Linked DNA regions of Danio rerio. Each later gene encodes a partner of the first gene's protein in a complex. Links are inferred from orthologs where the notes say so. Each region holds a gene or a part of one and is shown on either strand. Other genes may lie near its edges.

Region 1 (3,500 bases):
ATTAAACACATAAACTCTAAATGTAGTAAAAAAAAAAGACATTTAATGATGCTCATTACTTGAGGGTCTCGATGGGTCGTGACGGTGGTCGTTTAGAGCAAGACTCTGTAGGAGCGATGATGCTGTTAACTCGCAGCCTCTGCGTATCTCTCATCTAAAAAAAAAAAAATAAAAAAAAAAACATGCCTCGTTTTACATAATTTACTTTTCATTTTTTAATGCGAGTCAATAACAAAAGGGTTTTTGCAAGAAGCAAAATAATAACAAAAGTTAAAAAAAAAAAAACAACGCTTTTACCATGACTTAGAGGAGACTAAAATGGCTTTCTGTTACAGCAGATAATATAAATTAAAATCTCATCAAAATGCAAAAATTATTTGAAGACATTTTTAAAAACTTTTGAATTTACAAAACACATTGCAGCATCAAAATACTCATTATTTGTAAAAGTAAATCTTTATTTATTGCAACTATCCTTCAGACATTTTAAGTTTTTATCCATAAATTTATATATATATATATAATAATATTAATAATGTAATAAAATGTATATATTTCAAGTAATACGGTCTTTCCTCTCTACCAATAGTTGGTATGCGGGCATAAAGTGAGTGTAAAGTTTATTCATTCCTAAAGTACAGGTCAGAATATGTTTTTTCATTTTAACATAAAAATATCTCTTAGACTATTATTAGAATAATTATTCACAAAAGTTGAAAAAACATATATGAGTCTATAACAATAAAAAAAAATTATTATTAATATATTATCATAATATTATAAATCATTGTAAATATACTGATTATTATTTGTTATAACCGTTTTATCCAAATTATTATATCCATATATTATTATTTTTATTAATATTTTTATATAGTTAGGGGCCCAAGCACCGATAATTTATTCCCTAAATGACACAACTTATTGTCCACAATCTTGAACTAGTTTGAAAACCTGGTTTGAACTCTCCATAGATCATTAGCCCAATTTCCACCAAATTTGGCTCCGAACATACTGCTAAAAAGTTATAGTTTTCCAGTTGCTCTTTAGCTTGTTGCATTGCTTGTTTATAATGTGGCCGCTTGGCTGCTTGGCCCCGATAGTTGCTTTTCGCAGCTATAATCATTATTATGATTTTATTTACGGTATTTAGTATGTTTTTTTTATATACAGTTAAAGTCAGAATTATTAGCCCCCTTCCAATTTTTTTCTTCTTTTTTAAATATTTCCAAAATTATGTTTAACAGAGCAAGGAAATTTTCACAGTATGTCTCATAATATTTATTCTTCTGGAGAAAGTCTTATTTGTTTTATTTCGGCTAGAATAAAAGCAGTTTTTAATTTTTTAAACATCATTTTAGGGACAAAATTATTAGCCTCTTTAAGCTAAATTTTTTATGGATAATCTACAGAACAAACCATTGTTATACAATAACTTGCCTAATTACCCTAACCTGCCTAGGTAACCTAAGTAATCTATTTAATCCTTTAAATGTCACTTTAAGCTGTATAGAAGTGTCTTGAAAAATATCTAGTGAAATATTATTTTCTGTCATCATGGCAAAGATAAAATAAATCAATTATTAGAAATGTGAAATATAATATTATAAATATTAAAACTAATATGTTTAGAAATGTGCTGAAAAAATGTTCTCTCCGTTAAACAGAAATTAGGGAAAAAATAAACAAGCGGTCTAATAATTTAGGGGGGCTTATAATTCTGACTTCAACTGTCTATATATGCAAGTTCTTTTTAATGTAAACTGCTTGCTTTGGCAATACATTTGGCCTGCCAATACAGCAATTATTGAATTGACCAAAACTGGATGCCTCTTCTTCATCCCATGCATTCTTTAATGCATTGTGTTATTTTTAAAATACCCTCCACCCCCTCCCACCAAATGTCATATTACAAAACTCGGAAAAAAAAAAAAGTTCTACAAAGTCGAGCTTCTCACCTCATTCATAAATTTGTCGTTATCATCCTGTCTCTGGAAGACGAAAGCTCTCAAGTCATTGACAGAAATGTGAGTCTCAATGTATTTTGCATGCCGAGCATCACGAACATTTATCTGGCAATAAAACGGAAAGAAATTGATCAACTTGACAACCCATTTATAAACAGCAACTAAAATTAACAGCTGTTAACTTACCACCAGCATCATGGGCTCATGGACAACTCCTTCATAACGATCACGATTTTTCCTCAGCCACTCAAGGGCTGTGTATGTGTCACGAAAGCGGCTGCGCAATTTCTCCTCTTTAATCTTCATCATGTCATCCAGACTCCTCAGGCGATTCTGCAAACCTACCACAAATAAAACCGAGCCCAAGTCTTGGATCTGGCTATTCATGCAACATAATAGTTCGCTATTAAAATGAATATATAACATTACGCGCAAATTCTCCAGTGATTTCATCTTTATCTCTGCGCAGGTCCAGACTCTCACTCTCCAGTCTGGCTCTTTCTTCCTGAATGTTCCTCAGCTCTGCATTGATAGCCTCAATCTGAGGAGTAACGTCCTCAATGGTGCCCATGTTCTGAAGCTCCTTTTGCAGATCTCTGATCATCAGTTGCGTGTGTCCAATCCGCTTCTGCCTGTCCGCCTCCTCCGTCTGCTTTAGACTCATGTCCTGTTTGATGTCATCAACCTGATGGAAGAGAGTGATGAGTCTTTCAATACAGTTTTAGGAGGTGTTACTACAAATAAAAGGCTCGTCCGTTTCAGGAGGTGAAAAACAAACCTCTTTATTCTTCAGTTCAAGCTGGTCGTGTTTCTGCTTACATTTCTGCGTTGCCTCTTTGATACGGTTGGTCTGGAAAAAATAAAGGTATTACTTTTGTATATAAATAAAATAAAACAGAGTCTTGCTGGTGAGGTTGTGATCAGTGCTGACCATCTCCTTCATCTGCTGCTCGATGGGCTGCAGCTCACTCTCCACAGAGCGGATCTTTCTGAGCAGCGGCTCCTGAGCTTCCTTCAGGAACCTAAGCTTCCTTTTCATTTCATCTCTTTCCTTCTTCACCCCCTCCAGCTCTTTACGTGCCGTCTCATACTCCTAAAACAACAAAAAAAGATACAGTTTGGAAATGATATTCCATATGTACTCAAATTTTTAAAAACATCCACTCCTAGTACAACAAAAGCAAAAACGATAAGCACAAAGAATGTTCACTAAAGGTGTGCAATATTGGCCAAAATAGTTTTTGGCTCATTATATGAATAATTTTCCCACCTTAACAATAATTAAATAATATTGTGCTGGGTGTGTTTTGCTCATTTAGGCCAAATTACGTAATAGTCCTAATATATTCAATAAATGAATTTTTAGCCCTTCATTGATTTTTTTTTCTTTTTTAAATATTTCCTAAATTATGTTTAACAGAACAAGGCAATTTTCACAGTATTTATAATGTTTTTCTTCTGGAGAAAGTTTTATTTGTTTTATTTTGGCAAGAATAAAAGCAGTTTTTAATTTATTTAAAACTATTTTAAGGT
Region 2 (3,937 bases), on another chromosome or scaffold:
TTAGGTTTATCTTTTTTAATTTTGTTTATTAATTTTAGGCTCAATCCCAAAGAATCTGTGCTTCAGATAAAAAGAAAATCTTCTGTAATACTCTGAAGAATGGTATTTGAGTAAATTAACAGCATTTTTCAAAAAGTGTTACATGGAGAACTGTTGCAAAAATTAAGTTTAATAATGTTCAACTTAATTTGTTTGTTTAAATTCAACACAAATAAATTGTTTACAACCACTTTACGTAAAAAACAAATGAGCAAATCCAAAGAATCATCTCTGTATAATTTTTTTCAGTGTGATGTGCTGCTGTTCAGGATAATAATAATTTGGACTCTGTGAGTGGTGATAATATGTTGAATAATGTTAAACGGATGTATTCCATCATCATTCTCAAATGCTGCCTGTCGTGTTTGCTGATTTGCAGGTCATTATATAAGTCAGTTATCATAATATTTTTTTTAAAACTGGGGCCCCTGAGGGCCAAATAGGAGTGTTAGTTGGTCCGTAAAATAGTTTATTTAATTATATTAATAAATACATTATATTGATATTTTTCTTGCTGGATAAGTTGGCGGTTCATTCCGCTTTGGCGACCCCGGATTAATATAGGGACTAAGTCGACAAGAAAATGAATGAATTAATATTTAATTTTAGTTTAATGCATAATCACTTACAAATAAGTAAAAAAAAAAAGATTAAAATGATTAAAGTAGATTTTGTTAAAATTATTTTTAAACTAAATAAATACAATACTATATCATGAGTACAACAATGTGATGTTGACTTAATCTAAACTAAAAAAAATTTTTCTACAAATAATATTTAACAAGTATGAAACTACATGAACTATATGCATTTATCTATTACTGTATACGTAGGCTGGTGTCTTTTAGGAAATGTACAAAAGAAAGGCAAGAAATGATGACCCAACAGATGAGTAAATATCACAAGTAGCATGTGCCGAAAAACAAAAAAGAAATGCTTCCTGGAATTTTAAGGGAAACTTTAAAAAACTACAAGACTCAACAAAGGGAAAAAAAATTGTACAGAAGGGGCAGTAATGCAACAAAAAGGACGCCATCTGCCATTGAGGACTCAAAGAAGAAGAAGAAGAAGAAGAACGCATACCACGTGGCCGGAAGTGTTTCTAGTGGGAACCCGCGAATATTACACGAACTGACAGCTCGTCTGTACATTTAAAAACAAAGGTTTGTATATGAGAAACAAACGTCGCTTTACTCGAAACACTTTCGTCTTTCTTCAAGTGTTCTGTCGTTTTATTTTATTTCAAATTTCGCATTGAGTTACAAATGTTACCATACAAAAATATAGTACATGTGTAGTACTTTTAAAATGTTTTTTAAAAAATACCACAGTGTTTTTGAACCGAACTATAGTGAAGAGTATTATACTTATATATTATAGTATATAATTAAAAGTCTTTAAAATGAAGGCTAGCTACTTATAAATAATAAATACTGTAACATTAGTATAATGTTACGTTACTTAAGATTTTACTACACTAAACTGTGGTGTATTGTAACTTAGTGGTAACGTCAAATAACATGCCACATTGTTGTAGAAAACAGTGTAACGTTATTTAGGGCTGCTCGATTTTGGGAAAAATCTTAATCACAATTATTTTGACCTTTATTGTAATCACGATTATTCAAAACGATTATCAGTTGAAGTCAAAATTATTAGCGCTCCTGAGAATTGAAAAAAAAAAATTCCTAAATGATGTTTAACAGAGCAAGGAATTTTACAGTGTTTCCTCTAATATTTTTTTCTTCTGGAGAAAGGCTTATGTGTTTTATTTTAGCTAGAATAAAAGCAGGTTTAAATATTTTGAAACCCATTTTAAGGTCAATATTATTAGCCCCCTAAGCAACATTTTTTTGATTGTCTGTAGAAGAATCTACTGTTAAACAATGACTTGCCTAATTACCCTAATTAAGCCTTTGAATTGCACTTTTACCTGAATGCTTGTATTTTGAAAAATGTCTAGTAGAATATTATGTTCTGTCATCTTAGCAAAGATTAAAGAAATCAGTCATTAGAAATGAGATATGAAAACTATTATGTTTAAAAATAAGTTGGAAAAAAACTTCTTTCCATAAATCAAAAATTGGGGGGAAAAGGGTTTCTAATATTGAGGAGGGCTAACAATTCTGACTTCAACTGTGTGTGTGTGTGTGTGTGTGTGTATATATATATATATATATATATATATATATATATATATATATATATAAATATATATATATATATATATATATATATATAGTTATTTTCCAACCTTCAAAGGAAAGAGAAATAAATACAATAGAATAAAAATATGAAACCAACTTTGCTTTAAGCATCTTCACTGTAAGAAAAAAACTTTATCTACAAAAGTCCTTCAGTCAACAGCAGTAGTGGATTTTCTCCTTGTTGTTTTATTAATAATGATAAAAACAGGCGGCACAAGGAATATCGCTCTGTCACTTTAATGGTTTCTCTTTCACGTGTCTTTTGATTCCCAACTCATTTGTTTATTACACAAATGAGGGTTAATATGAATAATCACTCTGCGTTTTGACACCTATTTGACCATTAAAGCGCTCACGTTAATGACTTAAGACGTGTGCGCTCTGCTCGTCTCAGTGTACGGATGAGACGAATGCTGACCGCATGCTTCTGACTGTGTGTGCGCTGCACAAACACACACATAAGCACACAGTCTTTCGACTTTTAATGTGTACAACTGGAAAGGCGGCGGTATATGATGCAATAATCGATTATCTCGATTAATGGTTCATTATAATCGTTAGAAGCCAAAATCGAAATCGTATTTTCAATTAATTGCACAGCCCTAACGTTATTTGATAATTTGTTTATATCACCAAAGGTGTTGTGTTACCACAGCAGATTAATTCTGCTAAATAATGTAAAGTGCTTTACTATAGTACGGGTTCCCATATTTTGTGATTTGTGTATTTATTTATTTTTTATTATTTATGCTTTTGAGTTGCATTGTGAGACCTTGATCTTTCTTCTCATCACTTTTAACCTTAAAAAGGTGGAAAAAGTGACTTTTTTAAATGCTTTTAATAGTTAAAAGTTAGATATTGTCTAGTTGTCTGTTATTTTACAGGTTTATTTCTCTATATTATTTTTTATGTTATATTATTTTAAACTACTCAAATGTCAATAAAAGTTTTATGTTGGTATATCATGTAGGTTTACTTGTTTTATGTCGATTTGAGCTCATGTTTGCTTGAGTTTGGGAAATTTAGCTTATCTACACATGTGTTTTCCAGCTGAAAAGGACATTTAGCAGTCATGTCTAGACAGATGGGTGACGGACATAGGCTGTTCCTGCAGAACATGATGACCAACGGCATCGTCAGTGCAGCTCAGGCTGGAATGCTCCACAAGAAGTGCTGCGAGCTCCATGGAGGTATGAAGAAAACACTTGCGCTGATAGGGATAGAGTTAACCCAAAAATGAAAATCCTGTCATCATTTCAAACCAGTTTGAGTTTTTTTTGTTCAGTTGTACACAAAAGTGGTGAAGCAATGGCGCAGTAGGTAGTACTGTCGCCTCACAGCAAGAAGGTTGCTGGGTCGCTGGTTCGAGCCTTGGCTCAGTTGGCATTTTTGTGTGGAGTTTGCATATTCTCCCTGCGTTCGCGTGGGTTTCCTCCAGGTGCTCCAGTTTCCCCGACTGTCCAAAGACATGTGGTACAGGTGAATTGGGTAGACTAAATTGTCCGTAGTGTATGAGTGTGTGTGAATGTGTGTGTGGATGTTTCCTAGAGATGGGTTGCGGCTGGAAGGGCATCCGCTGCTAAAAACTTGCTGGATAATTTGGCGATTCATTCCGCTGTGGCGACCCTGGATTAATAAAGGGACTAAGCCGACAAGAAAATGAATGAATGAATGAAATGCTCATTAAGAGT
Region 3 (3,981 bases), on another chromosome or scaffold:
GTTAATTTCCACCAAGCAGTCACTGGTAGGACACCTGACCCACCAGCCAGTTGTTGAAGGCCACCAACCAGGCTCTGGCTGCCAGTTGTCAACTGCCGGGTAAAATGCGCTGCCACTGGCAGGTCATGCTACCTGACAGTTGGACACTGGCGGCTGCCACCAGCCAGTGGCAGGTCATGTGACCCGCCACTGGCGGCTCCTGCCAGCCAGTTGAAGATTGAACCCCTACTGGGAAAGCGGGTTTAAGAATGAACACAACAGCCCACTCTGTTACTATTCTGCTTAATGACTCAGTATCGAATAAACTATACACGTTTTCCCGAATAACTTTACCTAACATTTACACTTCCTAATATACAGCAAACTACTATAGCACAAACTATTATCGCAGTGTAACATTACCAAAAAAGACTTTGAACTAAAAACCGGACAGTTGACTTTTTTAGACAGCATTACCAGCAGTTCACTATGTGAACAGCACAGTTTTGAACGCAGCCCCCTGTGTGGGCATCATTGTAGCGCTACTGCAGTGTGGGGCCTACAAGGCCTTGTCACCGCTGCTGTTATATTTACTTTCTGTATAGCTTAATGTCCTTTTAACCTACCTGAAATTTATGAAAGAACGCTTCTGGCCACAATACGAGGTACATAGGACCGATTAATCCCAGCTTCCCTATTAGCGGCACAGCAATGGAGCCAGCAAACCAGTATCGAGTGATGAAAGGTATGTTTTTAAACCAGTCCCCGATATCCGACATCTTGCCATATGACTGGAGATCCTGGAGATTCTCTGTCGTTTTTCCGCAGATGCTAATTTACAAAAAGAGCAGGTGCAACACACGAATCTTTGACCACAACGCAGAAATGCTGTTTCAGTGCTCTTCTATTTTGGTTACGCACTCCTTCCCGTTTAGTTTACATGACGTGGCCGCGCACGAACGCGTCCTCGTTGCGATTTTCCGTTTAATTTGACTGTCAAATTAACAGTCATGCAAAAAATCTAAAATATTTTTTTATTATTGACACTTAAGCATTTTAAAATATGTGTCGTATTACCTTAATAAGTTTTTATTCACAAACACTTCAACAGTTTTATGATTGCAGTGTGCATTTTTACGAAATCGAGGTCTTTTATATTGATATTTCGAAACCGGAAACAGCCTCTTTGTGGCGCTACTTTTGGCGAAGGAAGGGTTAGCATCTATTTTATTGGATGTTTTATGTATAATGACAGATATTTACTATATGTGTGTTCAAAAACATTTAAAAACTAAATGATAACGCTTAGTACATAGGCCATTACATAGTTACGTTTTGTGAGAGATAGGTAAAACTTTATTCTAAATATAAAACTCTTTGTTTAACTTTACTCGGTTTTTTATCTGTATGGTTAGTGTCACCATTTTTATAATAATTTTTCCCATACAATACACGTGAAGGGTAAATAAGGCTGGAAGTTGATGTTGAATTTGTGTTTGTTCAGTTGTGCAGAGATGTCTCTCAGTTCAGTGAACTCCACCTTGTCCAATCTCAAGTCCTGTCAAGCAGATGTTGGAGATTATATGGATATGGTGTCCGACGTTGGGCTGGGAATAGTCGAAGCACAAGGTGAGAAATATGCGTTTAGCTAAACATATCTTAGAAAGTAGACACTAATATATATTTTATAGATACATCAAACAAACAAAAAACCCACAATTCGATAGCTGAATGTACTCAATTCATGCAAACCTCAGATCCCGTACTGTATTACTCTTGACTACAGGTCAATAGTTCGGGTGAGTTTTATTCAAAGAAAATTATTCTCTTCGTCAAGGCAACATTAATGAAATATAAAATAATTGTTGAATTGTTATATATTTATTAAAATTGTTTATAACTGCTGTTTTATTGTACGTAGTTTCAAATGAAGTTATTACCCCAGTCATTATTGCTTTTATTAATATTACCATTAATAATAATAAAAAATATATTATAATTAATAATAAATATTAGAGTGATTTCTGAAGGTTCATGTGACTCTGAAGACTGGAGTAATTCATTTTTAAAATCACTGTAATAAATTATTAAATTATAAACTACAAGGTTCAATGCTAAGGATTTTTATACCGGTCCGATTGGGCCAATAATTCAAATTTTTACTTGCCCTGGCAAAATTTTCACTGGCACCACCTAAAAACACCTAAAGATAATAGCTATTTTTAGCCACATATTTTAAATAATGTGTCAAAAATAATGTCTGTGAATCTAGAATTTCAATATTTAAAGAAATGAGCAAAAAGTGTTATGCAAACAAGTTGAGTAGTATGAAAAATGTGCAGGTATTTTATTGCAGTTTGAAATTATTTAATAAAAGGTGGCTGACTTGCCAATCTGATGGCAAATTGTGCAAAACATCACTTTATTTTTTCGTTATGTTGTTCCCACGTAAATGTCTGCTTCCAAGACATTACAAACAGACCTTTTCTTTTAGCCTTATAGTTTGATGTTGGCGTCACTTCACTGTACTGGTTGTTACCAGGTTATTTGGGAGAAAAAAGAGCATGCTCAATACATCAAATCAGATAAGAGAAACCAAAAAGCAATATGGTGTTTACGACAACACTGAGAAGGTAACATTTAAAGACTTTAAAGCACAAAATTTAAATGCATGCAATTGACTAATAGTCGCATACAAATGAAACTTTAGTGATAAGGCAGCACTGTTCCAATTGGGCCAGTGATGATCTTGATCTCATCGGGCAGTCCTTATTGTTGAGCCCTGAACTACTTTTGAACAGTTATTTTATAGTGCAATAACATTTCACAATTGTACAATTTGTACTGTATTTTGATTAAATAGATGCTGTCAAGGTGAACAGGATGAGCTTGTTTTAAAAGATTTAATAATCCTACTGACCCCAAACTTTTGACTGGACATTTTCAAAAAAAAATCTTAACAAAAACAAATTTATTGTTTACAAATGCAGTCGTGTTAAGCATAAGACTCTTCTTTCAAACACTGTACTGACCCCAGACTGTTGCACAGTAGTGTATAATGTATAATTAGGGGTGTCACGATTCTCCAAATTTTCGATTCGATTACATTTTCGATTTTTAAGTCACGATTCGATTCGATTTTCGATTATGAATAATTAATTAATTAAAAACAAATTAATTATTTGTAGTCTACCGTTTAAACTACCTGACCTGTATGGTCTTTGTTTTACCCATAAACAAATCATACAGTAAATGAATAAAGGCAAGTTACACACATAATTACCACCCGTCAATCACTTTTTTCTTGTGAATAGGCAGTGATCTCTGTCGTTATTATGGCGTCGGTAAAAAAAGGTGCACAACCAACAGGAACCAGCCAACAGTATCTGAGGTTTTCGCTAAAATGACTAAGTACTAGTGTGAAAGTAAAAGATTGAAGCAGTCTTAACTAGGTTAATTAGGTTAACCAGGCAGGCTAGGGTAATTAGGCAAGTTATTGTATATTGATGGTTTGTTCTGGAGACAGTCTGAAAAACAATTAGCTTAAGGGGCTAATAAATTTGACCTTAAAATGGTTCATAAAAAATGAAGAACTGCTTTTATTCTAGCCAAAATAAAACAAATAAGACTTTGTTCAGAGGAAAAAATATTATCAGACATACTATCAACATTTCCTTGCTCTGTTAAACATCATGTTAAAAAACAACAAAGGGGGCTAATAATTCTGACTTCCACTGAATATATATTTACAGTAATTTTTTAAAATGTTTTTAAGAAAACATTCAGTTCATCAAGGCTACATTTATTAAATGTAAAAAATGTTAAATTGTTAAATATTTATCAACATTTTAAATAACTACTTTGTTATTGTATGTAGTTTCAAATAAAAGTATTACTCCAGACATTATTTCTTTTATTAATATTACCATTAATAAATATAATAATAATTAATATTAATGATTTCTGAAGGATCATGTGACTGGAGTAATGAAGCTGAAATTT

The links.
Region 2: smc5 (region 1) and nsmce1 share a complex: the UniProt entries of both Homo sapiens proteins name them as parts of the SMC5-SMC6 complex. The link is inferred for Danio rerio from reciprocal best matches to the Homo sapiens genes SMC5 and NSMCE1.
Region 3: smc5 (region 1) and nsmce2 share a complex: the UniProt entries of both Homo sapiens proteins name them as parts of the SMC5-SMC6 complex. The link is inferred for Danio rerio from reciprocal best matches to the Homo sapiens genes SMC5 and NSMCE2.

The regions. Positions count from the first base shown.
Region 1 is NC_133185.1:17,915,255-17,918,754, forward strand, and holds part of smc5 (structural maintenance of chromosomes protein 5), read right to left. Parts: intron 3,061-3,500; coding exon 2,899-3,060; intron 2,818-2,898; coding exon 2,746-2,817; intron 2,653-2,745; coding exon 2,397-2,652; intron 2,309-2,396; coding exon 2,154-2,308; intron 2,073-2,153; coding exon 1,959-2,072; intron 155-1,958; coding exon 60-154; intron 1-59. UniProt on the Homo sapiens protein: Core component of the SMC5-SMC6 complex, a complex involved in repair of DNA double-strand breaks by homologous recombination.
Region 2 is NC_133178.1:43,207,134-43,211,070, forward strand, and holds the start of nsmce1 (non-structural maintenance of chromosomes element 1 homolog), read left to right. Parts: upstream 1-1,137; 5' UTR 1,138-1,202; intron 1,203-3,296; 5' UTR 3,297-3,318; coding exon 3,319-3,436; intron 3,437-3,937. UniProt on the Homo sapiens protein: RING-type zinc finger-containing E3 ubiquitin ligase that assembles with melanoma antigen protein (MAGE) to catalyze the direct transfer of ubiquitin from E2 ubiquitin-conjugating enzyme to a specific substrate.
Region 3 is NC_133191.1:26,958,670-26,962,650, forward strand, and holds the start of nsmce2 (E3 SUMO-protein ligase NSE2), read left to right. Parts: upstream 1-1,181; 5' UTR 1,182-1,193; exon of another isoform or gene 1,194-1,389; intron 1,390-1,483; 5' UTR 1,484-1,493; coding exon 1,494-1,608; intron 1,609-3,981. UniProt on the Homo sapiens protein: E3 SUMO-protein ligase component of the SMC5-SMC6 complex, a complex involved in DNA double-strand break repair by homologous recombination. Is not be required for the stability of the complex.